Linked DNA regions of Callithrix jacchus. The protein of the gene in region 3 interacts with the protein of the main gene of each other region in a biochemical or structural test. Links are inferred from orthologs where the notes say so. Each region holds a gene or a part of one and is shown on either strand. Other genes may lie near its edges.

Region 1 (3,987 bases), on a different chromosome or scaffold from region 3:
GACTCCCCATTCCCCCTGCCCTCTTCTTCCTCTTTTGTCCGTCGAAATCGGTTAACTTGGGTCTTTCCGGATCCGAGGTACTGTTAGCTCCTGCAAGATCTACAGGATAAATGAGTTTAGTCCTGGTGTACGTCAAGACGCTAGGGATCTGGCGCCCCACTAGAGGAGACACCCACTAATTCGCTGTACCCTACTTGCAAGCCCCTCCTCCCGCCCCTCTTCCCCAGCCTTAAGCCTTTTCGTCCCCTCAGGGGTCTTGGGATTGTTGGATTCTATCGTACCCAAAATACTGTACATTCTATTGTGCAATATTGTATATTCTATTGCACAATTTATCTCAGACAGTTCTCAGCTTTAAGGACCGGGATCAGAATTCATCGTGAAAAGGGGGCCGAGGGTGCTTCTCCACGCTGGGTAACTTCCTCCAAGTGTTCCAGCCTCGACCTTCCCTTTCCATTGTCAAGCTCTGCCACTCCACACTCCTTCCCTTAATCTTCACGTGGAGACCTAAGCTGGGGGGTTAGGAAGCGGAGAGCGGCGGGACTTGGAAGAGCCAGTTTGCAGCTAGCCTGTCGCCTCTCGGGTCCAAACCCGAGGCTGGCCCAGGGCGAGTACCTGGGTGGGGCCCTAGACCACAGGAGGGGAGGCCGCCAAAAGGAGAAAACCCTCTTCCTTGGAAACAAAATTGTATGTGTGGTGGGTGCGCGTGTGTCTGTTTATTTAAAAACAAAACCACGTTAAAAGGGCCGCCCCTCTTCCACAGGTCCGACCACCCGCAGCGAGTTTGCCAGGAAGAGGGGCAATTCTGAAGGGGAGTCGCCAACGCCCACTGAGTGCCGCCTCAGAGACGGAACCGTTCGCCCAGACCTCGTAGGCTCCAAGCAGCCAGTTCCCGGGCCCCGCGCGCAGACGCTGCGGCGAAGGAGGGGACTCGGGTGCCGCCAGAGCCCCGCAGAGCCAGCGGCAGCGCAGACTCCCGGTTCGCTGCCTCTCCCAGCCCCGCGGCCTGGGCCGTCAATCAAGCCCAGGCGGGCTGCCTCTCCCAGCCCCGCCTTTGGGCTGCAGAGGGTGGCCAATCAGAGCCAAGCTCCGCAGCGATGAGCTCAGCCGGCTCGTTTCCCATTGGACGGCTATATTAAGAAAGTGGCCGGACTCTTTAAATAGCGGGCGCTAGGGCCGCAGCCCTCATCTGCCGCAGCTATCTGACTGTGTCGTGTTTTCTCTTGTGTACACGACAAGGCCCGGAGAGACCCAGGAGGGAGCTAGGCCGAGTCCGCCGCCCAAGCCCGCGTAACGCACAAAGCTGCCGATTCCCGGCCCGGGGCGAGCAGAGCGACCACCGCCCGGAAGCAGCGCGGCGAGACGGAAGGTGCGCCCTATGCCCCCGCGCCCCTATCGCCTCCGCCGCGGCAGCCGGAGCTCAGCGAGAGAACGCGCCACCGCAGGGCCCGGGTGCAGCTAGCGACCCTTGACCCTGCGCGCAGCCAGAGGTGAGCAGTGAGCGGCGAGCGGGACGGCAGCGAGGCGTTCGCGGGCCCCCTCCTGCTGCCCGGGCCCGGCACGCTCATGGCGGCCATCCGCAAGAAGCTGGTGGTGGTGGGCGACGGCGCGTGTGGCAAGACGTGCCTGCTGATCGTGTTCAGTAAGGACGAGTTCCCCGAGGTGTACGTGCCCACCGTCTTCGAGAACTATGTGGCCGACATCGAGGTGGACGGCAAGCAGGTGGAGCTGGCGCTGTGGGACACGGCGGGCCAGGAGGACTACGACCGCCTGCGGCCGCTCTCCTACCCGGACACCGACGTCATCCTCATGTGCTTCTCGGTGGACAGCCCGGACTCGCTGGAGAACATCCCCGAGAAGTGGGTGCCCGAGGTGAAGCACTTTTGCCCCAACGTGCCCATTATCCTGGTGGCCAACAAGAAAGACCTGCGCAGCGACGAGCATGTCCGCACAGAGCTGGCCCGCATGAAGCAGGAACCCGTGCGCACGGATGACGGCCGCGCCATGGCCGTGCGCATCCAAGCCTACGACTACCTCGAGTGCTCGGCCAAGACCAAGGAAGGCGTGCGCGAGGTCTTCGAGACGGCCACGCGCGCCGCGCTGCAGAAGCGCTACGGTTCCCAGAACGGCTGCATCAACTGCTGCAAGGTGCTATGAGGGCCGCGCCCGTCGCGCCTAACACTGTCAGCGCGGCTCCCCCTCCTGGACCCGTCCCCCACGAGCCCGGAGAAGGGGAGACCCGTGTCCCACAAGGACCCTACTGGACTGCCTGGCATCTGTCTGCTGGCGGCTCTGGCTCGCGCCAGAATTCGGCGTGGGCGTCGGGCGCCCCCTTCCCAGTGTCTGTGTGCGTCCAGCTGTGTTGCACAGGCCTGGGCTCCCCGCTGAGTGCCAAGGGTCCCCTGAGCATGCTTTTCTGAAGAGCCAGGCCTCAGAGCGTGTGGCTGTGTGTCTGTTCGACTCTCCTCGCCCCATTTTCACCCCACCCCCGTCTCTGATCCCCGGGGGCGAGATTGGCGCGGGAGTGTGGCCGCGCCCCATCAGATGTTCGCCTTTCACCAGCGGGCGTCTGATATCCCTTGTCTGTAACATAGACCCGGGGTACTGCGGGAGGGGAGGGCTGGGGAGGATAGGGGAATGTTATATAAATATAGATATAATTTTATTTTCGGAGCTAAGATGGTGTTATTTAATGGTGGTGATGGGTGAGCGCTCCGGCCCAGGCTGGGCCAGACTCCTGTCCAGGCATGAACAGGACTTGGCCGTCTTTCTGACCCCTGGGGAAGACATTTGCAACAGACTTGGGGAGGACGCAGCTTTCAGTTCAGCCTCTCCTGCGAGCCAGCCCCCTGCGAACCGTTTGCCAGTCATCGGCGGGAGGAGGGAGGGTGCGCTGTGGGCTTGTTTTTGCCATAAGCGAACTTTGTGCCTGTCCTTCAAGTGAAAATTGTTCAGTCCAAGAAACTGATGTTTGATTTATTTAAAGGCTAAAATTTGTTTTTTGAAAATTCTTTGCACAATTGTTTCATTGTTTGACACTTAATGCACTTGTCATTTGCATACGACAGTAGCATTCTGACCACACTTGTACGCTGTAACCTCATCTACTTCTGATGTTTTTAAAAAATGACTTTTAACAAGGAGAGGGAAAAGAAACCCATTAAATTTCGCTTTGTTTCCTTGAAGAAAGTGGCAACACTGTTTTGTGATTTTATTTGTGCAGGTTATGCACACAATTTTGATAAAGGGCAGTAACAAGTATTGGGGCCTATTTTTTTTTTTCACAAGGCATTCTCTAAAGCTATGTGAAATTTTCTCTGCATCTCTGTACAGAGAATACCCCTGCCCCTATATTTCCTTTCTTCCCCTCCCCTCCCTCCCAGTGGTACTTCTACTAAATTGTTGTCTTGTTTTTTATTTTTTAAATAAACTGACAAATGACAAAATGGTGAGCTTATGATGTTTACATAAAAGTTCTATAAGCTGTGTATACAGTTTTTTATGTAAAATATTAAAAGACTATGATGACATTTATAAAATGGCTCTTGTGGTTTAATAGTATCCTTGTGAATCTGGGACGAGGGAGACATTCTCTGAGGCGAGATCCTTTCTTGCCAACTCCGTTTGCCTTATAGCAAATGTGGTAAATGAGGATGAAGTCCTGTTGGGAGCATGTAGGGGTTGGGGGTTGGGGTACCAAGGGAGAGACCAGTTTGTTCCTGTCAGCATTCCTAGAGGAAGATGAGTGGATACCCCGACATCCAGTGCAAAAACCTTTGACCTATTATGTACTCAATTGAATTAGGTGAGACTGCAGATCTTGATTTCATTCACCTGTGTGTGTGAAACACACCTGTGTCTAAGTCTATTCAGACTTTGTTTATTGAGTCTTGGAAAGGTGTCATTTGTGCATTTTAAATTTAGATGACTTTTTTATTAATCATTGGTGTGGGATCAGGCCCTCTCTCAGGAGCCTGTTTACTGGGT
Region 2 (3,500 bases), on a different chromosome or scaffold from region 3:
AGCAGTTTGGGAGGCCGAGGCAGGTGGATCACGAGGTCAAGAGATCGAGACCATCCTGTTCAACAAGGTGAAACCCCGTCTCTAGTAAAAATACAAAAAGTTAGCTGGGAATGGTGGCACGTGACTATAATCTCAGCTACTCAGGAGGCTGAGGCAGGAGAATTGCTTGAACCCAGGAGGCGGAGGTTGCCGTGAGCCAAGATCTCGCCATTGCACTCCAGCCTGGGTAACAAGAGCGAAACTCCATCAAAAAAAAAAAAAAAAAGAAAGCCCCTTGAGGTGGTGGCTCACACCTGTAATCCCAGCACTTTGGGAGGCCGAGATGGGTGGATCACAAAGCCAGGAGTTCAAGATCAGCCTGGCCAAGATGGTGAAACCCCATCTCTAATAAATAAAATAATCAATCAATCACATCTGCTACAAATACTGCAGACCTCACCTCTTCCCCTGGCTATCTTGCCCACATTAGTTTCAAGGCCTCTCACAATAGTTTCAAGGCCTCCCCTTATCACCTCCCTCCTCCACCACCCTGCAGTTAACAAGTGTGTGCACCTAATAACCTGTGGAAACCAGAACTTGGGGCCAGTGGTCCCCATGCTTGTGTTGGTCCCCTGAACCCATGCTGTAAAATTCTACTCTTCTGTCTTTGTCTTTATTTCCTTTTCTCAATCCTTTGTCACCGCCAAGACTAAGGGCACCCATGAATGGGGTCGGGGCTGGTACCCAACAAATTTACCCTTCTATTACAGGAGGTTGAGCATGTACCTGGATGTGAAAAGAGTGCTCTCTCACCTTATGTGTTGCATTATTTCAGCCATTCAGACATTCTTGAATAGTAAAGGCACAGCCAAAGGTCTCTCCTGTCATCTCAGGCCTTGCCTAACACCCAGCGTTGTGTCTTTTCTTTCCTACCAACTCAGAATGCAGATTTGTCTCCATGTTTCCACATTGCAGCAGAAAATTTACTTAGTGTGGTATCTCCCTTTCTTGTCTGTGTACCTGGTGGAATGTTATTTAAAATTTTATATCTTCTCTCCTGTCTGTCTGCTTTCTTACCTAGTACAGTGTTATTTATAATCAAATACTTATAAGCTATGTTATTTTTGACTTGACATTTTGAATTTTGCCACTTGGTTCAGTTCTAGTATCTGGTTGTTGGTTTTTGTTTTTTTTTTCCTAACGGAGACAAGGTCTCACTGCCTAGGCTGGAGTGCAGTGGTATGATCTCTGCTTACTACAAGCTCTGCCTCTCGGGCTCAAGGAATCCTCCCACCTCAGTTTTCCAAGTAGCTGGGACTGCAGGTGTGCACCACCATACTCCGAAATTTTGCTTTTGTTGCTCAGGCTGGAGTGCAATGGTCTTGGCTTGTCTCAACCTCTACCTCCCGGGTTCAAGTGATTTTCCTGGTTCAGCCTCCCGAGTAGCTGGGATTACAGGCATGCGCCATGATGCCTGGCTAGTTTTGTATTTTTTACCAGAGATGAGGTTTCTCCATGCTGGTCAGGCTGGTCTCAAACTCCTGGCCTCAGGTGATCCGTCTGCCTCGGCCTCCCAAAGTGCTGGAATTAAAGGTGTGCACTGCACCCAGCCCACACTCAGCTAATTATTAAGGATTGCTTTGTAGAGATAGGGTCTCAAATTTCCGATTTTGACAAATTTCAACCTAAAATAAATTAAATATACTTTAATTTGAGCTTGATGCTCTTAAAAGTAAATATTCTTGTGTTTTACTGTTTTAGACTGTCATTTGAATGTACTATGGTTAGTGTCACTTAAGTGTGTAGTAGCATTAACCTTGAGCTCTTGTGGTTGTTTTTCCCATTACAGGTAGAGTTGGCTTTGTGGGACACAGCTGGACAGGAAGATTATGATCGCCTGAGACCCCTCTCCTACCCAGACACCGATGTTATTCTGATGTGTTTTTCCATCGACAGTCCTGATAGTTTAGGTGAGTGGTCCTGCGCCCAGTGTTTGTCACTGCAAGATGTATCCACCTAGGCTGGGCGAGGCAGGTGGGTCACCTGAGGTCAGGAGTTGGAGACCTGCCTGGTCAGCATGGCGAAACCCTGTCTCTACAAATACAAAAATTAGCCGGGTGTGGTGACATGCACCTGTAATCCCAGCTACTTGGGAGGGTGAGGCAGGAGAATCCGGGAGGCAGAGGTTGCAGTGATTTGGAATCGAGTCATTGCACTCCAGTCTGGGAGACAAGAAAATCTCTGTCTCAAAAAAGAAAGAAAGAAAATGTATCTAACTTGTTGGGGGATAGTTGCATGTGCCTGTAATCCCAGCTACCCAGGAAGCTGAGGTAGGAGAATTGCTTGAGCTCAGGAGTTTGTGTTTAGCCTGGGACTAGTGACCCCTGGCTCTAAAAAATTAATTAGGTTCAGGTGCTGTAACTCTTGCTTCTAATCCCAGAACTCTGAGAGGCCAAGGTGGGAGGATCACTTGAAGCCAAGAGTTTCAGATCAGCCTCAGCAACCTAGCAAGACTCCTTCTCTATTAAAATTAAAGGTTTTGTTGGAAGGCCGAGGCGGGTGGATCATGAGGTCAAGAGATTGAGACCATCCTGGTCAACATGGTGAAACCCCGTCTCTACTAAAAGTACAAAAAATTAGCTGGGCATGGTGGTGCATGCCTGTAATCCCAGGTACTCAGGAGTCTGAGGCAGGAGAATTGCCTGAACCCAGGAGGCGGAGGTTGTGGTGAGCCGAGATCGTGCCATTGCACTCCAGCCTGGGTAACAAGAGTGAAACTCCGTCTCAAAAAACAAAAATAAAAAATAAAGATTTCGGCCGGGCACAGTGGCTCATGCCTGTAATCCTAGCACTTTGGGAGTCTGAGGCAGATGGATCACCTGAGCTCAGGAGTTCAAGACCAGCCTGGGCAACATGGCGAAACCCTGGCTCTACAAAAATGCAAAAATTAGCTGGGCCTGATGGTGTGTGCACCTGAACTTCAAGCTACTTGGGAGGCTGAGGCCGGAGAATCATTTGAGACTGGGAGTCGGAGGGTGCAGTGAGCTGAGATCATGCCATTGCACTCTTGCCTGGGTGACAGAAGTGAAATTCTGTCTCAAAAGATAAAGATTTTATTTGAAAATAATTAATTTGGTCAGATGCAGTGGCTCACACCTGTAATCCCAGCATTTTGAGAGGCCAAGGCAGTTGGATCACCTGAAGCCAGGGGTTCAAGACCATCCTGGCCAACATGGTGAAACCCCGTCTCTACTAAAAATATAAAGATTAGCTGGACATGGCGGCATGTTCCTATAATCGAGCTACTTGGGAGGCTGAGGCATGAGAATTGCTTGAACTGGGAGGCAGAGGTTGCAATGAGCTGAGATTGCGCCCCTACACTCCAGCCTGGGCTACAGGCCAGGTGTGGCTAAAGGCTCTGTGCGGATGCTCATGCCTGTAATCCCAGCACTTTGGGACGCTGAGGTAGGCAGATCATTTGAGATCAGGAGTTTTGCCTTCACACAGGTTAACTTGGAAGA
Region 3 (3,500 bases):
GGTTCTGATATCACAGTCTGACAAACATGGGAACATATTGGGGGCCCCCTCTAGATCTCCCCACCAAGACACAAAATCCCCACCAGCTAGTAGTGCCAAAACCTTGGCATCACGTTAAAAATGACTCAGCACGTGCCCTGATTCATTCTGGTTCGCTACTGAAAACAGCAGGATTGCACCTGACTTGTCACATCAATTGCTGTAATTTGAAAGCACGTTCTGGCCAGGCATGGTGGCTCACACCTTGGGAGGCCAAAGCAAGAGGATCGCTTTAGGCCAGGGGTCCGAGACCAGCCTGGCAGCACAGCAAGACCCTGTATCAAATGTTAAACATTTAATAATGTTTATAAGTGCATTTGAAAGGACAGCTCAGGACGACTGGGCACACAGCCACGCCCACGCACTTCTCAGCGCCAGTGCCTAGGCCTGAACATGGATTTGCCTCAACTCAGAGGTGGAAAAGACTGACAGGGTGGCTTCCTCGGACTGACCACAAGACCCTCCAAGCAGCTGCTCTCTCCTTGGCCCCCCTACTTTGCACCCAGAATTAGGTGGTCACTTGAAAGTCCTTCCCCACGTGGGCTCTGTCCCTCAGGCAGGCCTGGCCCCATCAGGACCCCTCCAAGCAGATCCCTGACGTGGCTGCTGAGCTGTCAGTTTCTGAAAGTCACTTCTGTTCCTATGATTTGATCACAAGTGCCAGCCATCAGGGACACGCAGGCCTCACACGGCGAATGAGCCACAGCAACTAAATGCAAACTCATCCGTGCCCCAGGTACTGGCTGTGCCCCCCAGATGACTTACCTGACATATTCTTTCTTGTTCTCCTCTGTGACAGGCACGTTTCTGCCATTAGGTTTCAGTTCATGCTGAAGAATCCGCCCGAAGGCATTGTGTTCCACGCAGAAGGTGTGGTCCAGCACCGGTGTGATGTCATTCTCTCTGTTGAAGACAGAAGGTGACGTCAGTTAGAGTTCAGCCACCATGTGCCAATGAAAGGAACATCAAGTAGGGCCATCGGGTAGACAGAGAGATGGCGTTTAGGACTCCCAGACCCAGGCTGCAAGAGAGGACAGCCGCAGGCGGACACGAAACCCATATGGGGGCGGCACCGCAAATGGTGCTGGAGGACCCGGAGACCACAGTTCTGGTTCCAGATGTCCCCGACTCCTGGCTTCCTCACTCACAGAAGGCGGGCAGCACTGAAGGCAGGAAATTGACCTGGAGATGAAGCCACACCAAGAAAATACGAGTCCCGCCTTAGAGCCAGCCTTTCCAAACACATCAGTTCAAATGCAAAAGCACTTAAAAGTGAAAATTAGCTCCTGAATCTGCCATAGGCAGATTGGAAGTTTTGTTGTTGTTGGTTTTTTTTTGAGACAGAGACTCACTTTGTCATCCAGGCTGGAGTGCAGTGGTGCAATCTCAACTCACTGCAACCCCTGCTTCCTGGGTTCAAGAAGTTCTCCTGCCTCAGCCTTTTAGGAGCTGGGACTACAGGCACATGTCACACCTGGCTTTGTTTGTGTGTTTTTAGTAGACACGGGGTTTCACCATGTTGGCCAGGCTGGTCTCGAACTCCTGATCTCAAGTGAAGTGCTTAATAACAGGCAATGAGCCAACATACTGAGTGGAAGATTTTCTACCCGGTCCCTGGGGTCCCCTCTTCACGTTGGAACATGGGACATACAACTAGGAGGCCCCCACTCCCACTCATCCACATTCCTTCTGTCTGCCAGAGCAGAGCCTGATCTTTCATCCCCACGAAATCCACAAGACCTGTGACACAGTTCATCTTGTCATTGCCTGCTGCCCTTAACAGAATGTCTAGAATAATTCTAAAGCAGAGGTACCTAAATGTTCAATTTGTTTTGATATGGGCTTGGCTCCTGTGAGGTTAACTGGAGACTCCCGTGAGTGTCACACACACCCCGAGCCTGGGGAGTAGTCTGTTAAAGTTCGTGATCTTACCTTCATAATTCAAGGAAATGAAAGAATCTAGTCCCTGAAGAGAAGCCGGCCCAACATCACAAGGAAAATAAGGCAACTGAGTTTTTTGTTTTTTTTCTTTGGCTAGATCTGGTGGGGTGGTTTTTTTTTTGTATTTATTGTAGTAGTAGGGTCTCAGGACGTTGCCCAGGCCCAGTCTCAAACTCCTGGGCTCAAGCAATCTGCCCACTCTGGCCTCCCAAAGAACCTTCTTTTTTGTTTCAGGTTATTTAATACAATGGCTTCTTTGTGTCTCTTCTTCAATTTCACACCCATCCCCAAAATACACAAACGCACACGCATGCATGCAGACAACAGAGGTGGTGGCATGTCCCACGCCAGGTAACCGTGCACCATCAGTCAATACTTACAGGATCCACACCAGGCTCTTATGCAGCTCCGGGTCCACGGATTCCAGATCCGAGAGCTGGATGGGCTTTCCCAGGAGCTGCTTATAGAAGGGCACTGTGAAGCCCCCATTGATGTAGTGCCCATGAAACACGGCCAGCCCCATGATCCGCCCCACAAAGTGGAAGTAAGACAAGTGGTCCTGTAGGGGGCACCAGAAAACACAAATTCATCAGCACAACGCTGGTCAATGTGGGAGTCTTCTTGGGAAGAGTGTCCCAGAGGCAACTCAGGAACTCACAGGCCGGGCTCATGAGCAAGTGAAAGAAGGCTGCTTGTGTAGCTGAATTTGCATAGAGTCACTGGACAATTTCAGGGCCAATACCTCCTCAGACTATATAACTTGCAGAGGAGCCCAGTCCAGTGCAAAATGAAAATGCAGAGCCCATGTTCAGCAACGACTGAGCATTTCACCTTGTGACAACAGAATCAAACCAAGCATGGGGCCTTGACACTGCAGGGCCGCGGCATCCTGCAGGACGCACGCCCAGGAAGCCAGCCCTGCATTCCCTCCCACTGCACAAGAAAGACAAGGGCAAGCCCCCTTCTTCCACCACCCCTCCCTTGATCCAGAATGAAAGGAATGAGGGAGGGAAGAAATTCTAAGAAGGGGGAACAAAAAGACCACAGGAAAATATGTATGAATAAGCCAAGTAAAATAAACAATTCTAGGCTGGGCGTGGTTGCCCGTGCCTGTAATCCCAGCACTTTGGGAGGCTGAGGCAGGCAGATCACCTGACATCAGGAGGTTGAAACCAGCCTGGCCAACATGGTAAAGCCCCATCTCCACTAAAAATACAAAAACTAGCTGGGTACAGTGGCACAAGCCTGTAATCCAAGCTACTCGGGAGGTTGAGGCGGGAGAATTGCTTGAACCTGGAAGGCGGAGGTTGCAGTGAACTGAGATCACATCACTGCACTCCAGCCTGATTAACAGAGCAAGACTACGTCTCAAAAAAAAAAACCATTCTAGAACCAGAGCCGTCTGGTTTTTAACTCAGGAACCATACGCCTCTGCTTTCAGGTTTGAATTATGTTCATCTCAGAAAATGAGTGAAAACTCTGCTTCCATGTTGGTAAAAGGTTCTTCCACATTTGAATGC
Region 4 (4,232 bases), on a different chromosome or scaffold from region 3:
TAGTAAGGCTGAATTTATTCCATGACATTTTTTTCAAGTTAGCTGTAAATACTCCACCCTCCTCGATTGAGCAACAACCTAACACACCACACAAACACAAGTCACAAAAAAGGAAAACACAGCCAGAGTTTGAATTTAGGTAAGTTTTAAGTAGAGGGTCTCACAGCAGTGCACAACCCGATATAAAAGTTAACATTTAACAAAACATATTATTTCACATTATTACGACAAGAGATGCCGGAAAGAGCCTGAACCAGTTAAAGCAGCCGCCATCTTAAAATGCGGGATAGAAGTTAGAGCTAGAAAATGAGACGAAACCACCGGAGGTGGAGGTTCCACTCACTCCCAGAGCTCTGAAAAATCCTAGTTTTCTTCTAACTTAAATCGACAATATACTAACCACATTTCAAGTAACGAAACAATCTTCCCCAAGGGTGTTATTAAAATGGGATGAGGCAAAAATAGGTACACCTAGCTTTCCCTTATGGCCATCGCACCCCTTATCCACCCCCCGCCGGCCAAAAGAAAAAGGGAGCTTCCAGAAGGCTTTTACATCAGTTCCCGGTGTGCCTCGGAAAAATAGCTTCGGGTGAAAAGCTGCAACTACAAAATATAGGAAGTGACAACACTGTGTCATTCCATCTCCTCCCAAATACTTACTAGGTGTACCCTACCCAGAGTCCGCGAAGAGTTTCTCCACTAGACTTATTCACTATCCTTCAATAGACAAGAGACTTCTACCCGACCCTCAGTCAAGTTCGCGACTCGCCAGATTTTTCGTCCGGGTTTTCTTTCTTTCCCCTAAAAAGTCTACAGAACCTTGATCTCATTAAGTCAAGTTTGGGAGCTCTCAAGAATAGGAAGCTGCATGACATCTGCTGAAGCGGCTCTCCTTACTTCGGACCCCAAAAGAACTGAAGCACCAAAAAAATAGTAACAATAATATAAATAAATAAAGGCGCTTTAAGTCACTCTCCTCCACCCCTAATTTGCACCGATTCCAATGAAGCACACTCACTAACACCTCACTTGCCACAAGTGTTCTCCGTTCCCTAGCTTTAAACTTCATTTCAAGAAGTATATCCGCGTTCTCCATCCCCCACCATGGAAGAAGAGATCCAAGAGATATTTTCGGAATTATGCTTCTTTCCCACCCCCACGCTTTCCTCTGGGCCCGAGCCTTCCTTTTCTCCCACGACCCCATTTCCTTCAGTTCCCGCGGGTTACCTTATTAATCCGTTTCAGCGCCATACTGTGTGCTTGTCGTCTGGCTCCTCACTCTCTCGGTGTGTGCTCAAAGGTCCGGACAAAACTCTTGATTATCCCGGCGGCGGGGCAGGATTGTCTCGTCTCACACCGGCTCTGCCAGACACAGGCGCCTTTTGCAAAAACGGAGCAGATCAACACTCGCACAGGCCTCGGAGAGCCCCTGATGAATCCAGCTCCCTAAGACAGACGCGACCCGGGGTGGGTGGGGTAGCAAAGCCACCAAAAGCCTCTATGCAGTGCTTTCTGCCCGAAGTGGGGGCGAGGGTGACGGGAAGAGCGGAGGGGGTGGCTACAAGTTTAACTTCCCGGCCTCTCGAAAGGAAGAGACTCGGGTGGGAGAGGAAGAGGCGTAGGAGAAAGGGGTGGGTGCGGGGCAGGGTCCGGAGCCCAGCAGAGGAGGAGCTGGGGCCTAGTCGGCGCTATACCGGCGTCACTACGGCAAAGAAAGGCAAGGGGGAGGGGGAAGCAAGAGACTCAGGATGGACGCCGGACTGCTTTCGGTTTCTGCCCAAAGGTGCGGCCGGGCAGGGGGAAGGAAATAAAGGAAGAGAGGTTTGATGTGTGTTGCTGTCCTCGCAGCGAGCTATTCTGTGTCGTCTCTGACGCCACCGTACACTCCGCCTTCCAGCGCGCTCCCGCGCGCGCCCGCCCAGCTACCTCCACCACGCGCCCGTGCTAACCCTGAGGCTCCGGCTTGGGCGCGTGGACGCGCCCATTCCCCCCTCCTCTTCCAGCAGGAGAGGCCCCGGCTTCTCCAGCCTTCCCACCCTACCCCACCGCACCCAATAGGCTGGCTATTCAAGCCGCCCAGGGCCCGCACTGCCCCTCTTACCCGGCCGGCCACTAGGCCGGCCTCCTTCCCTTCCCTAGCCGTCCACACCCACGCGTACAGAGGGGCCGGGGCCTCCCTCAAGCTGCGGCCTCGGCCTCCTCCCCGCGCGGCAGCTGGTGCCTCCCCGGCCCTACGGGGCTCACGCGCACGACACAGCCACAAGATGTCCGCTCTGACGGAACTACTGCCAGCTGCCACGCTCCGCCCCTCCCCCTTCTCCTGCCTCTTCACCGCCGCGGATCAGTCCGCCAACGCCGCCGTCGCGAGCACAGGACCGATGTAAGGCTGAAGCCAGACGGCTTGCTTCCCACGTCCGGGGCCAAGTGAATACGTGCCAATGCCTTTTCCTTGTCCTTCTCGGAACAGCACCTTCTTATTGAACAGATCGGAGATTGGACTAGGAGGGCGGGGGAGGGAGGCGGATCATGGGCTGGGGGGAGGGTAAACGAGTGGCGGAAACCCTTAGGCTCAGAGAAGCATCGAGAACCGGAAGGAGACCATGGGAGGAAGGTAAAGCAAGCAGCCGCTGCGCGACCAAGCCCCACGCCCCTCCCCACAGCGTCCCCCAGTTTCCTCACTTGGTATTGAGGCGACGACTCTCGCGAGAACTTCGTGGCTGGCTAACCGAAGCAGTAGCTCTGCAATGACTTAAGAGCAGTTTTGGGCGCTCTTCCTCTCGGGGTCCCGCCCCCAAAATCCATAAATTCTCGCGAGACGCAGTGAGGCACCGGCTCGAACTGGGGCGGGCCACGGCCAGGAAAGCACCGCCCCTGAATGTTTAAGCCGGTGGTTGGAAGAGGAAATGGAATTCCCCGGACTTGTAAGAGCGCGCGCCGACACAGTCCTCTCTCACGCGCCCAATCAGGAGTGTGCGGTGGGAGGTGTCATGGATTAATTACCAGATAACTTGAGTCGATGTTGAGCCGGGATTTTGAGATTTCCGGTGGAGCAGGTGAGCAGTATTTACTTGCCTGCCCTCCTGGGCTTGTTATGCTGTGGGAGAAGGCTCCCCTCAAGATGGGAACAGTAGTTTTAAATAGACTCAGGTTGGCGGCTCATCAGCGGTCCCACGTGCTGAAGTCCAGTGCCTGTCTGACCCTAAAGGAGCAACACTGAGAAGAGCAGGCCCAACAGGCCAGTTCCCAGAGTTAGAGCAGCCCGAGTCAAGCTCAACTGAGTCGATGGGGCTGGGACAGAGAGGGTTAGGGGCAGAGTGGTGGTCACGGGTCTCCGTAATCAATCGCAACCATCCACCAAGTGTAGAAGTGGAAACAAGCTGAACTTCTCAATACCTTTAACTTCTGTTGCTGTGTTTCAGTTACTGAGCCAGAAAGTGGCGAGACTAATTAAAAAATTAGGCAGAGTTTAGAGTCAGAAAAACCATACGGTACTTCCTCAAAGATCCAAGTTGGGAAGTGGGGTTTACATAAATAGGATTGGCCTGTTTTAGTCAAGGATTTAAAGTATGGAGAGGGCAGTTACACTCTGTAGTGTATTCTTTAGGCAAAAGAAAGACCTTAATGTTGGGTGGGTAAGCACTGACCAGCTTAAGGTTTTCTAACATTCCTTAATGACCCCAGTTACTGAAGTGGAGATTTTCAATTACATGGAAAAAATAAACTTATTTTAACAATACTCTTAATTTGAAAACTTGCAGGAAGTTTTACCTAATAAAAACAGATCAACAATGATGAATATAAGTGGTCTAATATATACTGTTCAAGTGACCATGTAGTGTCACTAGAGCAATTAGTGAAGCAGTGCTTCTCAAACTAGTATCCATAGGAACCACCCGGGGCTTTGTTGAAAATGCGACTTTTATTTGGTAGGGCAGAGATCCTACATTTCTTTTTTTTTTTTTGAGACAGGGTTTCGCTCTTGTTACCCAGGCTGGAGTGCAATGGCGCGATCTCGGCTCACCGTGACCTCGACCTTCTGGGTTCAGGCAATTCTCCTCCCTCAGCCTCCCGAGTAGCTGGGATTACAGGCGCGCACCACCATGCCCAGCTAATTTTTTGTATTTTTAGTAGAGACGGGGTTTCACCATGTTGACCAGGATGGTCTCGATCTGTTGACCTCGTGATCCACCTGCCTCGGCTTCCCAAAGTGCTGAGATTACAGGCTTGAGCCG
Region 5 (4,222 bases), on a different chromosome or scaffold from region 3:
CCTCCAGAGGTGGAGGGGTGGGTTGCCTGGGCCCAGCTACCCAGGCCCCTTGCCCACCCACTCCACAGCCCAGAGTGGGGGCTGAACAAACACCCAGCAGGGGGCTAGACAAGCCAATTCATTTCCCATTGCTGAGTGGGTCGGGGGAGGCAACACCGACCTTAATCACATGGTGGTTTAAAAAAAAAAAACAAACTAGGGGCAGGTAGCAGGAAGGGGAGGCAAGGCCAAGGCAGGGAATTCCCCCACCGGCTGCCCCCCAACCCCCTGCCGGTGGCCCCCAATAAATATTTGCAGGGGACGCCACGGCTTGTGGCCGTGGCGGGGGTGGGTGTGCGCCAACCCTATTTCAGGCAGCGCTCGAAGTAGGTGGAGCCGATGTAGCCACCCCGCATGGAACGCTGCACGTTCTGCTCAAACAGCCGCCGGTTGTTCTGCAGGACCTCTGCGGCCTCCTTGTTCAGTGGGTCCTCGGGGTTGGGCTCCTGTGGCCAGTACAGGTGGGGTCAACAGGCCAGAGAGACAGAAGACCGATCTCCCCAAACCCAACCACCTATTCCTACTCACCAAGAAGAGATACTGCAGGCCATAAATTATGGAGTTTACCGTAAGGACTGGCTTCCAGTCCTCTCTGTGGACAGAGAGCATCAGGGTCAGGGCTTGGTGAGTGGGAGATTGCCATAGGCCCCTCTGATATTGGACAGGTCAGATCCAGGGCATAGGAGAGTGAGGATGTGGGAGACTGGGAGGGAGGGTGTGGAGCAGGCCAGGACAGGGAGAAAACCAAGGTCAGGCCATGAGGAAGATGACTGGGAAATGAAGAAACCACAGACAACAAAGGGGTGGGTAGGCACAGAGACTGATGTAGTGCCCAGAAGACCATGAGGGGGGTATGACAGGCAGGGCTGGGGAAGGCAGTAGAGGGCCAGTGCCCTCACCTGAGGATGTTGAGGCAGACGTTGCCCTCGAGGTCAATGTTGGGATGATAGACCATTGTCTCACACTTCACCTTGGGGGGATCATGCGGATAACCCTGGCCCACCTGGTTCCAGGAAAAGAAAAGGGAGATGGATTGGTGCCTGGAAGGGCCTCAGCTGCTGCCTCCTCAGTCCAGGCAGCCATCCCTGCCCACCTGGGACTCACCTTAAAACTGAACACAAACTTCCCACTCTTGTAGAAGCCCTGGGAGGGAAAGGGGGAGAAGAAGATTTTAGGGTTCAATCCTGTGGGGCCTGACAGAACATGTCTCCGTCCTCTCAGTGGGGACACTCTTGATCTGCTTCTGTGAATCCAGCCATATGCACCCTCACCTCATCAGGACAGATGACCAGCTTGAAGTTGAGGAGGTCGTCTGGATCTGAGAAGCTGATATCACACGTCTTGGGCAGGTTCAGCTCGTTTATGTCTGGGTTTGGGCAGCAGAGAGTTGGGGAAAGAAAGGGGGAGGGAGAAAGAGGGAGGGGGAAAAAGTGACAAAGAGGGAGACAGCAGGACACTTAGGGCAGGTGTTGTCAGCACAGCCCCTATGGCCTCCTCCTGGACCCCCAAGCCTCTGTCCTGGGCTGTGCTCCACACCTCCAGCCCTCTCCCTTCTCCTGTTTGGCTCTTGTGGATATATGGCATACCCCAAACAGGTATGTTCAGTCTGCGTGTCCCAACTCCTGGCCCAGGGTAAACGCCCAATTTTCTGCATCCATAGCTCCCAAATGCTCCCGCTCCAAATATCCTCTGACCACCCTGAATCCCAGGCTCCCCATCCAAGATGTTCCTACCTGTCCACCCAAAGTCAAGGGTCCTGCCTACCCTCACCAATTTTCAGTCCTCACTGTCCTTTTTCTCTGAGAGAGAAAAAGGCCTTCTTCCCACCTGACCCCCACACTCTCAAGTCCCCAAACCCTCATCACCCTAGCCCACTCCCTCTGACTCCGAGGTTCACAGCACAATAGGCTAAATTTCTTCTCACCCCTGTCTCCAATCCCTGGTAGTCACTAACCTTCTCTCCACCACCTGTCACCCCATACCCCAAATTGCTGTGACTCTGAGGCCCATGAGTTTCGGGTCCTCCAACCTAGTCCACCCGTCTGACTCTTGAGATACACGGAGTCTTCTCCCATTCATATCCCCAGCCCCTGGCCTCTACTATCCCTCTCTCCTCCTGTCATCCCAAACCCAAGTTCCCGTCTAACCCCCAGACTCTCGAGTCCCCAGCTCCTCCACTCCACTGCCTGACTCTGAGATTCCGGGTCCCTCGTACCAGACACAGGCCTTCCTAATATCCTAAACCACCACACACTGGGCCCCTATCTCTGACCCCCCTCCCCGTGACTGCATGACCCCAACCCTCAAGACCTGACCTCCGACCCGCTACACTAGGGGCCCTCCACCTCTGACCCTCGGCGATCGCATGATCCCCTCCTGACGCCCACATCACCCAGCCTCAGGCCCTGAACTCCGACTCTGGCTCCAGCCCCATCCCCTGACCCCCTACCCTTCTGGATCCGCAGCTGCGCCGCCGACGCCTTCTTGCTGCTGCCCTTGGTGCCGCCTGCCGACTCCTCCTCCTTCTTCTGCTGCTTCAGCGAGAACAGCTTGATCATCCTGCCGCCGCCGCCGCCGCTGCCGCCGCCGCGGGGCCCGGGACCCCGGCCACCCGGCCTCCCGCCGCCGCCCGCGTCGCCTCTGCTCCTCGGACCCGCCGCTGCGGCCTCCGCGGCTCTCGCCACCCGCCCGGCCTGCCGCGCCGCTCTGCTCTGCTCCGCGCCCACCGCGCGGCCCGACTCGGCTCCCGTAGTCCGGCTCTGGCCTGGCCTGGAGTCTCGGGCTCGAACGGCAGCGCTCGGCCAAACTCGGGTGTTCTCGGGCCGCCCGGCCCCGCCCCTATCGCCCCCGGCTGCTCCTTCCTTGCCCTCGCCCGCTCTGGTCTCAGGCCCCGCCGCAGCTGCGGACTCTGGTTTCCCCCGGCCGCGCCGTTTGGCCGCTCAGCTGATCCGTCCGCGAGGGAGCTGCGGCTCGGGGTGGGAGGAGGACGGGGCAGCCGCGGTGACGGGGGCTGAGTACTGAAGGATCGGTTTCCGCGGCAGCAGCGGCTTTAGCGCGGAGGTCGGTAACGGCCTCGGGCGCCCCGCCGCTTCGGATATTTCCGCCGCCTGTCCGCTTTGGGTCTTCCCGCCCGGCCTGCGTTGTGCGCCTGCGCAGCCGCGGCAAACTCGCGTTGCTCAGGGATGGAGTTTGGGGTTCGGCCTCCTTCGGCTGGATTCGGGTATTTCCGTTCTTGGAGTTGACGCTTCGGCTGCCCGGCGGGTCACTTCCGGTGACTCTAGCGGGGTCGGGCAGGAAGTGTGGTTAGCCGCCATCTTTGAGTGGGGCAGACGTGGGGTGTTTCGCTCGCGGTCACTTCATCCTATGTTGTACTTGTGCAGAGCGCGGCGCGGGTGGGTCAGAGCCTTTGACCCCATGGGTCACAGACAAAGGCAGGGTGATCGCGGCGAGACTCTGAGTGAGACTAGAGGCGTTACCCAGAGGGTGCGAGGTCGAGCACCTTCATTGTCCCATCGCAAACCCAAAGATCCCAGTTCCTGGAGATTCTGATTGAGGTAAACTAACAAAACATGTATTGTGCCAGATGGTGGTAAGCACTCTGGAGGGTTAAGGTGGTGTAGAGGAAGACCTGTCGGGCTGGACACTTGGGGAACGCGATGTGGGGGCGGAGCCGGGCAGCTCTGGGAGTGGGCCCCCAATTCCAGCAGAGACGCACTGCGGTCTCACGGCTTTCAACCCACTATCTGAAAAAGGGGATATAGGCGGGAGTCAGCTTCCCATCCAATCGCAGCTCAGTGTGTCTGGGAGGGCGGGAGGAAACAGAACCCTGCGGGTCAGCCACTTCCGCCGTCACCACGGAAACCATCGTGCTCGCGAGCGCTTGGTGTGGTGGCACTTGCCTGCGGAGGGGCCCAGGCGCCACCCCTCTGATTCTGCAGCTCCTCGCCCAGGAGTGGTCTCTGGCCAAGGGTGGCTTGTCTGCTTTCCCTGAGGCCACGCCTCCAGCCTTGTGGGTTGGGGTGACTAGAAGCAGCAGGGGAAAGTCTGGCTGCACCCCTGGAAGAAGCTTGGACAACAAGCCTTGAGTCTTAGTTCCTTGAAATGTCCAGGGCCAAGGCTAGCCCGATACCTAGCCAGAGTGAGACCTTGACTGGGGTTTAAGGTTCAAGCTGGACCCTGCTGC
Region 6 (3,934 bases), about 20 Mb from region 3:
AAACAAAAAGTTTTCTTAACTCCACAAAATACCAGTAATATTAAAATTGAATATATATTAAATAGATTTTTTAGATGGTATTTCAATTTGTTACTGTATTAATAAATGAAAAACTGGTATTTTACTGCCTAGTTTTCAAAACACTAAACTCTTTAATTTGACCATGGTACAAATCTGTTTTCAGTAGAAAGAGAAAACACAGTGCCTCCGTTTAATGCAAAGGACAAAAAAGATCATCACTGCAAATCATAATGTTTGGGTTCATGATGAAAACAGGAAAGAGACAGGCTGCCCAGGTATAATTATGGTTGCAGTCTAATGTGCCTTCAGGTTCAGCCAAGAATTAAAACCCAGTGAAGAGGGTAAGCAGAATTTACTTGCCTTTACTTTACTACAGAATGCAACTTTTAATAATACTCCCAGCAGCATGTTACATAACCAACAATAAACAACAATCTGATTCAAACCTCATTAGTAACAACCTTCTGCCACTGTCTCCCACTGAAATTAATAGCTGACTTTGCCAGAGGGGAAAGAAATGCAACACATATCAATCTACCCATTTCTGTGGCGCCTTCCACAGTGAACCAGACACAAAGATAATACTACCAGATCTGTACAGAAACTATGAAAATATTTTATTTTTTTCCAGTTTGCTCCTCTCTTCCTCCTTTTAATTAGACCATATCATGTGGATACCTTTAAAACCTGAGAGGAAAGTCAGTTGAGAGGGTTCATCTAACTTTTATTGCTTATTTCGGCTATGATCTGAAAGGAATGGAAGCACAAAATGAAGAATAAGGTATCTGTAACAAAGATACATGGGTAAATTAAAAGCAGTAATGTAAAAAAGACTGAGGGAGCAGCAATGTGGAGAGGGAAGCAAAGGAAGATGTACAGGAACAATCATACAATCATCAAATTTAAATTTTATAAACCTAAACATAGTATCTACAACCTTTATGAGGGTTAAGTTTTGTTTAATTGTCTCTTCTAAGTTTTGCATTTCTACAATTTTCGCCGTAGAGAGAAAAATATTAATAGTTACCAAAGGAATAAAAGACTAAAATGGTTTGTCACACATCCACAAATAGCCCCTTATGAAATCTGGAACACTAATTTCATAATGGTATTTGGATCAATAAATGTAAAACTGTCCCACTGAGTGTAGGTGCTGTTTTCCCACAACGGACACTACTGCGTCGGCATCTAGCAGGAATTGTAAGCTATTTGGAAAGTTACTAAACCTACTAGGACTAAGATTTTCAAACTTTCATCTTTCAAATTAAAATTAAAAACTAATTCACTCTGGGCAATTCAGGTACTCTAAGGAAATTCAAGTACTCTAGTTTTAAATAAGAGTTTTAAAAAACGCAATCCAAATACCCTTTCCTCTCAACTTTTGTGAGGCCAAGCCACGACCTCCACCTATCCAATCTTTTCTGCTAGATAAGAACACTTTTCATAGCGCTAGGCAACAGGCATGATGTGACAAACCTAACCAGACTTCAAAACTTTTCCACAGATAAGGTAAACAAGATATACTTAGCACCACACCCATTTAAACACACAAGCAGCCCTGCGCCACCCCCCAACACCACACCCCCTCCAAACCTCCAGCTGGTCAGGAAACATTGTCTTTACAATCAAGATAACGATCTGGCTCAGGGTGTGCAGCCACTCCTCACCTACAGACTGGCCTAAGCTCCATTCTCCAATGCCATCACCACCAGAATCGAAAGGTTCTGTTAGGAAGCCGTCAAATGTCCAAACACCCCGACTATCCTCGCCCGAGTTTTCTGCAACCAAAAATCTATTTTGGCTACTGAGCATGCTCAGACTTAAGACGGGCGCGCCACATGGGAGTTTTCAAAGCTTAGGCTCCAAACTCCACGTAATAACAGCAGCTGAGAAGTAGAGGGTAAAAGGGGAGGAGAAAGGGAAGAGACTGGAATATTAATTTGGGCCCTGATGTTGAAGTATAGGGCCTGGCCAGCGGCTGAATATGGTGAAGGCAAAAAGACGCTGCTTTGGCATTCTGTTTGCAGCATAGAGAAGTTTACAAGTAGAAGAAATCCTTGCCGTGGTGAAAACTGACATGGCAAGTGGCGGAAACCAGGTCTAACTACCAGCTGATTGCAGTAGCCGGTCACAACTGCCCCGAGTGTAATTAAAACCGATAAGCGCGGATCCTTATCTTTGAAACACAAACCGACCGCGGCACGGATTCATCCAGCCACTGGACAGCTTTGCAGTGCAGAAGCCCAGGCTGCTCCCCCGAGCACTGCAGTCCTATCAGGGATGTGTATCGAGGGTGGTACATCAGTTTGACGTAGGAAAGCAAACCGCTCTCTAGAACAGACGAGGGGTCAGGGGATCCCCTCCAGGACGTCCCGGATGCCTCCCTCCTAAGTCCGGGTGGTAACAGCGGGGCTGGGATGAGGGCCGGCCCCGGCCCCGCCTCAGGACGCCCCGGGCCGCAGGAGAGGCCTCCGCAGCCGCTGGGCCGCACAGTGTCTGCCAGCCGGGACCCCAGCAGGCCAAGACTCGGCCTACCTCCGGCCCGGCAGGCCCCTGGTAGTTTCCGCTCCGCCGCGGCCGAACGCCCCCGCCTCGGCCCGAATCCGCACGGGCAGGGCCTGCAGCCTCTGGTCCAGCTCGCCCGCGCGCGCCGGGGACCCTCACTCACTCACCGGCCGGCTGGGCGCGCTCTCCCGACGCGGTCGCGGCGCTTCTCGCTGCAACTTTATTAGCAGCTCGACTGCGGGACACGCGCACGGCGCCCGCTCGCCCAGGACCCGGATGAGGGAGGGAGGGAGGGAGGGAGGGAGCCTGGGAGAACGCCCGCTGGGGTCAGCGCATGCGCGCCTGGGGCTGAGTGACCGCTGCGGGACCGAGGGAGGGGGGTCTTGCCCGGGCAGCTGAAGGAAGCCTTCGGGCCTGGCTCAACGCCGGACAACGCCAACTTCCGATCGGCCGCCGGAGGCGTTTGCGTCGATGGCCAAGCCTGGGAGTGGGAATTAGATAGCTCCCACCCCAACAGTAGCCGCTAGTAGCTTCCACTAACCAAATCAGCATACATTGTAATAAAAGTAAGTAATTGTCCTGGATACAGACAACTGGAGATTTTCTGTCATATACAAAGTGTAAACAAAGATCTTCAGATACGACTTAGCTACTTGTATTGATTTGTAATACAAACCTGAATGAAGAGTCTTCTTTCTGTGCACAGTAGCTTCAAAACATGTTTCTGAGCATCCTACAGTTTCTCACTAGATGCAGCACTGAAACTCCTCCCACGGGGCAATCCTGGAACCCTTGAGGGCCTATGGAAATGGAGCCGAGTGCCCGATCCTGGAATGGGACTGTCCATACACCGGGTTACAACCCCAGTATTTCAAGACAACATACCCTCTCCACCTCCTTGTGGGGAGGGAGATACCCTGAGGACCCAAGCCCTGCAGGCAGTGGGGTCACTGAGGTCCAGAGATACTGATATATACCACCCCATCTCCTGAACTCTTTTCTTAGTAATTGGAGCTTTTCTCAATGCTTTTCCCTCCAAATTTCCAAAACTGTCAGCATTTCCAAGAGTATAGGCTAATATACACCACCCCATCTCCTGGACTCTTTTCTTAGTAATTGAAACTCTTCGCAATGCTTTTTCCTCCAAATTTCCAAAACTGTTAGCATTTCCAAGAGTCTATTGGTACCACATAGGGTACCCGATTTGGAGGATACTAGTAAGAAAAAGCTCTTGAATAATTTTGTTTTTATTTTAGAAGGTCAATGCTGGCTTTCCAATGTTTTATTATAGGTTTTCTTTTAAAAATAAGTAAAAATCAAAATCGGAGTCATTTTGGAAAATGCTCTTTCATATCCTAATTCAATCTATTGGGAAATTCTATTAACTCTTTCTTCAAAATATATCCTA
Region 7 (4,161 bases), on a different chromosome or scaffold from region 3:
ACTAAAATGCAAAATCAGCTGAGTGTGGTGCATGTGCCTGTAGTCCCAGCTACTCGGGAGGCTGAGGCAGGAGGATTATTTGAACCTGGGTGGTGGAGGTTGCAGTAAGCTGAGATCACGCCACTGCACTCTAGCCTGGGTGACAGAGCGAGACTTAAAAAAAAGAGAGAGAGAGAAATTATCCTTGGACAAAACACTCCACCACTTCACGTCTCTGGATCCTTCCTTGAATAAGAAGGACAAGACAGAACATCAGTGGCTCTCAGTCTTCTTTCCACCCCAACCCATCTGAGGGATTAAGCATCTCTCCATTTACAGAAGTGATGATAGTCTGAGAAAACATCCCACAGAAGAATCTGAGACACTGCCCTAGAAGTTGTTCCCCTGCTGGTATGCTCTACTACACTACTGCAAACTTATCTGAGGTTCCACACAGCTCTACGGCCTGCCACTTTAGGTAGAGGAAAATTATAATAATATTTCATTGAGCTTAAGAAGAAAGGCCAAAAGTTAGTATACATCTTCATTTGCTGGAACATGCAAGATCCAAATAAGAATTTGTATACTGATGGCATCAAAAAAGATTATGTAACTGTTCATATGGCAGGTAGCACATCCAACCTGGAATTGGCTTCTAATCAAGGAGGTAGGTAAAGGAGGAGGAAAAGTATGGAATCAATCAAAATAATCACCCCTCAGGTTTGAGGGAATGGTCTGAATATGTGATTAATGGAAAGATTTGTCTAAGTCAACTTGCCTGGTATCAGAAAGATGAACACATAGAGATGTGATGGTATATGACCCCCAATTTCTTCTCCAAAATATCAATTCATCACGTTTGATATCAATTCTATGTAGATAATTTTTTTTACTGGACAACTCTATAAACTAATAACTGTCAATGCTAAAAAGAAAAGATATGGACACATACCATATTATAAGTCAAATGCACTAGTTCAGCACCGGGATTGATGAAAACTGCCAAGCATGGTATTTACAAACACTGTCCATATTTCTTTGAATATCTACTTACTGTGGACAAATTACACAGCATTTAAAAGCTATTGTTAGTTGGGCATGGTGACTTGTGCCTGTAATTCCAGACTCTCTGGAGGCCAGGAGTTCAAGACCAGCATAGGCAACATAGACTCCCCAACCCCCATCGCTTTAAAAAAAAGAAAAAAAGAAAATTTAAAAAGCTCTTGTGTGTGCAAAGTCACGTGAAAAATTCTCACAACTAGGAAAGAAGAAAATAGACTGAAAACTTCCTTGGAAGATGTGCATTATCTGATCCAAATGTGAACCAATATTATGTCATCATTAATAAGTATGCAACGTATGGTAAACATGCTGACTGAGGCTTCAAAATTAGGATATTTATATGAAAAAAATGTGTAATTGTACTACCTTCAAACAAGAAAACAGCATTACTTAATAAATGCTGATTGTTAACTGTTTTACAATGAGATGACCTTTAAATGGCACAAAAAAATAAGTGAACCACAGATTCAGAAATTGAAAACAAAAAACTAGCAGGCTCTAAAAGTTGCTGTCCTCTGTACCTAAAGATGCCACCAGTGGTGAATCAGAATACAATGTCACTGCTCTAACACATATATTGCTATATTGACTCCTGGTCAAAAAAGTGGATAAAAATGTTTTGTGGGCATCAATGTATTCTGAAACAACTATAAAACACACTGCTCATTGTTGCTTAACTTGCTGAAAAACACTCCCTATTTAACAAACACATTCTCAACGTTTCCAGTGTGAACTATAACTGTAAAACCTAAAACCTGGGTCAGTACACGGACCACCAAGAAATAAACATGAACAGAAAGAAATGCCCGAATCTCAATTCCGAAAGCTGTTCACATCTGAAATGGTTGCAATAAATACTGTGAAAAGAAGACAGTTCCATACACAGGGTTGAGATGGCCAAACAGTCGTTGGATGAAGATATACATTTCTTCCTCATTCTATACTCATGTGTCAAAGCATCAAAACAATTTAATTTGTGACAGTTTATGTTGTGTCTCGAACTTTACATCTAAGTTTATCATGAGGGGGAAAAAAACCTGTTTGGCTTGACTCACCGTGAATCACAGCCAGGAGGTCATCTTGTTGTGTATCAGCAACTATGTTTTCGCTACAGCTATGTGACCTGAAGTGGCAGCAGCAGAGGCACCAAAATAGAAGGGGCAGGAGCCTTCTCCTGGCTTCTTGGCTGCAAATGAGCTTTCCAGCCCATTTGGGCAACTGAGCAAGAGCCAACCGCAAAGGAAAGAAAGAACCAACCCTGACAGCTCCGCGGAGAAAGGCTGCAGGCCCACCCCACCTTCCGTGCCCTCCCGGGGAGCCCGGAGAAGCAGGAACAAAAAAAAGGACAGGCTTAAGAAACAGCCTGCAGAAAACACAGCATGACAGGGGTCAAAACTAGTCCCATGGAGGGCAAAACCCAGCCCTGACCGTGAAGCACAGATTTTGGGGCGGTATGGAGGCGGAGGAGGCTCTCTACCCCGGGGCTCCGGGAGCGGCTCCGGCGCGAGCGCAGAGCGGGCCCCCAGCCTCCAAGCTCCTCCGGCCGCCTGGGACCTGCCCCAGCTCCCACCTCACCTGTCCGGTGCCCGCTGGCCCGGCCCGAGCCTCCGGCTCCCTGCCCGCGCTCCGGCCCACCCTCCCATCCCGTGCTTTCCCCGCACGTCCCTCGGGACCACCGGCCGGGTCAGGGGGCCGCTGCCCGCCCCGCAGCCCCAGGCCCAGCCTCGGCACTCACTTTCTGAATCCGCTTCAGCGCCATGGGTCCGGGATGGCGGTGGGGACACCGGCCGGCGGGGGGCGGCTGCGGGGCTCGGGGGCGCGGGTCGTCCCGGGTTGGGCTCTGGCGGCTCGGCTGGCTCCGCGCAGTGGGTCTCCGGCTCGCCGCTCCCAGGATCGCTCCGGGCGCCGGTCCCTGCTCCGTGTGCGCCCGAGAGCGAGTGTGCGGGCGGGGACGCCGGCGAGACTCTTTTGTTTCCGCTTTTGCTTCTGGGAAGGAGCCTGCGCCCTCCCCGCCGCGCCCCGCCCCGCCTGGCACACTGGGAAGTGTAGTTCCAGCCCTGTCCTCGGCCGCAGGCCCGCGGGCGCTGGCAGGTCACCTACTCACCGCTGACCTCAGCTGGGCAGCTTCAGGTGAGAGCCGCCGGACGCTGGAATCGGTCTTTGCAGTCTCATTTAGAGCACGTGACTCTGGGGCTGCGCATCTGGAAAATGGGGATAACAAATGAGCTGCTAACGCACTTAAAGGCATTTCTAAATTATCAGTTAGTAATTCCTTATCCAATAGGAGCCACAGCTGGTTTTGTTATTTTACCTTTAAAGATTTCACTTTTTCTCAAATATATGCATTGTCGCAATTTCTCACCTTGCACATATGCACAAACTGATTATCTATCAGATCCCTTACTTACCTCCTTAGTTCTTATTGCCGAGGAAAAAGGTGTGCGCGAGTGTGCGGGCGGGGAGTGCTGTCACTGTGAGAAGCATTAGTTTCAGGTAGCTCTCTTCTGTCCAATGCACAAATCTTTCTTGTCTGAGTGCATTGTCTGCTCGTAGGTATACCCCTCTTCATAAATACCCGCTTCGAATACCTAGTTCTGAGCTCTCACTCCCCGCACTGGCTCCTTCCCTACTCATACACACACACAGGCCCTACTCAACAGTCAACTCACACTCCCCACTCTCCAATTCCTGTGCACGTGTGTACCCACTAAAACATGGCTTCTTGCCGGGCGCGGTGGCTCAAGCCTGTAATCCCAACACTTTGGGAGGCTGAGGCAGGCAGATTGCCTGAGGATGGGTTCAAGACAGGCCTAGCCAACAAGATGAAACCCCATCGCTACTAAAAACACAAAAATTAGCTGGACGTAGTGGAGCACATCTGTGGTCCCAGCTACTCGGGAGGCTGAGGCAGGAGAATCACTTGATCCCGGGAGGCAGAGGTTACAGTGAGCGGAAATCACACCACTGCACTCCAGCCTGGGCGACAGAGGGAGACTCCGTCTCAAAACAAAACAAAACCCAAAAACTTGGCTTCTTCTTTGAGCACCGCAGAATCAGTTTTCACCAAGGTCACCAATTGGAAGCTTGAGCTTCTAATTACCAAATTCAACTCACTCCCTA

Evidence for each region.
Region 1: the proteins of SMURF1 (region 3) and RHOB form a complex in vitro, tested with the Homo sapiens proteins (2 studies listed by BioGRID and IntAct, with this or other methods). The link is inferred for Callithrix jacchus from reciprocal best matches to the Homo sapiens genes SMURF1 and RHOB.
Region 2: the proteins of SMURF1 (region 3) and RHOA form a complex in vitro, tested with the Homo sapiens proteins (2 studies listed by BioGRID and IntAct, with this or other methods). The link is inferred for Callithrix jacchus from reciprocal best matches to the Homo sapiens genes SMURF1 and RHOA.
Region 4: the proteins of SMURF1 (region 3) and UBE2D3 form a complex in vitro, tested with the Homo sapiens proteins (15 studies listed by BioGRID, with this or other methods). The link is inferred for Callithrix jacchus from reciprocal best matches to the Homo sapiens genes SMURF1 and UBE2D3.
Region 5: the proteins of SMURF1 (region 3) and UBE2M form a complex in vitro, tested with the Homo sapiens proteins (2 studies listed by BioGRID). The link is inferred for Callithrix jacchus from reciprocal best matches to the Homo sapiens genes SMURF1 and UBE2M.
Region 6: of the proteins of SMURF1 (region 3) and SMAD5, one has a biochemical effect on the other in vitro, tested with the Homo sapiens proteins (3 studies listed by BioGRID, with this or other methods). The link is inferred for Callithrix jacchus from reciprocal best matches to the Homo sapiens genes SMURF1 and SMAD5.
Region 7: the proteins of SMURF1 (region 3) and UBE2D1 form a complex in vitro, tested with the Homo sapiens proteins (3 studies listed by BioGRID, with this or other methods). The link is inferred for Callithrix jacchus from reciprocal best matches to the Homo sapiens genes SMURF1 and UBE2D1.

The regions. Positions count from the first base shown.
Region 1 is NC_133515.1:94,759,031-94,763,017, reverse strand, and holds RHOB (rho-related GTP-binding protein RhoB), read left to right. Parts: upstream 1-1,187; 5' UTR 1,188-1,566; coding exon 1,567-2,157; 3' UTR 2,158-3,539; downstream 3,540-3,987. UniProt on the Homo sapiens protein: Mediates apoptosis in neoplastically transformed cells after DNA damage. Not essential for development but affects cell adhesion and growth factor signaling in transformed cells. Plays a negative role in tumorigenesis as deletion causes tumor formation.
Region 2 is NC_133516.1:31,971,357-31,974,856, reverse strand, and holds part of RHOA (transforming protein RhoA), read left to right. Parts: intron 1-1,828; coding exon 1,829-1,949; intron 1,950-3,500. UniProt on the Homo sapiens protein: Small GTPase which cycles between an active GTP-bound and an inactive GDP-bound state.
Region 3 is NC_133503.1:14,562,010-14,565,509, reverse strand, and holds part of SMURF1 (E3 ubiquitin-protein ligase SMURF1), read right to left. Parts: intron 2,540-3,500; coding exon 2,361-2,539; intron 1,853-2,360; exon of another isoform or gene 943-1,852; coding exon 805-942; intron 1-804. UniProt on the Homo sapiens protein: E3 ubiquitin-protein ligase that acts as a negative regulator of BMP signaling pathway. Mediates ubiquitination and degradation of SMAD1 and SMAD5, 2 receptor-regulated SMADs specific for the BMP pathway.
Region 4 is NC_133504.1:94,518,637-94,522,868, reverse strand, and holds the start of UBE2D3 (ubiquitin-conjugating enzyme E2 D3), read right to left. Parts: upstream 2,801-4,232; 5' UTR 2,680-2,800; exon of another isoform or gene 2,385-2,679; coding exon of another isoform or gene 1,827-2,384; exon of another isoform or gene 1,662-1,826; intron 1,447-1,661; 5' UTR 1,252-1,446; coding exon 1,228-1,251; intron 1-1,227. Other genes in the region: uncharacterized protein LOC108590841, read left to right, coding at 1,827-2,384. UniProt on the Homo sapiens protein: Accepts ubiquitin from the E1 complex and catalyzes its covalent attachment to other proteins. In vitro catalyzes 'Lys-11'-, as well as 'Lys-48'-linked polyubiquitination.
Region 5 is NC_133523.1:51,191,836-51,196,057, forward strand, and holds the start of UBE2M (NEDD8-conjugating enzyme Ubc12), read right to left. Parts: upstream 2,801-4,222; 5' UTR 2,598-2,800; coding exon 2,489-2,597; intron 1,406-2,488; coding exon 1,311-1,405; intron 1,183-1,310; coding exon 1,144-1,182; intron 1,043-1,143; coding exon 939-1,042; intron 632-938; coding exon 568-631; intron 486-567; coding exon 345-485; 3' UTR 1-344.
Region 6 is NC_133503.1:34,536,839-34,540,772, reverse strand, and holds the start of SMAD5 (mothers against decapentaplegic homolog 5), read right to left. Parts: upstream 2,801-3,934; 5' UTR 2,557-2,800; intron 1-2,556. UniProt on the Homo sapiens protein: Transcriptional regulator that plays a role in various cellular processes including embryonic development, cell differentiation, angiogenesis and tissue homeostasis.
Region 7 is NC_133513.1:72,170,918-72,175,078, forward strand, and holds the start of UBE2D1 (ubiquitin-conjugating enzyme E2 D1), read right to left. Parts: upstream 2,801-4,161; coding exon 2,777-2,800; coding exon of another isoform or gene 2,495-2,776; intron 1-2,494. Other genes in the region: uncharacterized protein LOC144578806, read left to right, coding at 2,495-3,151.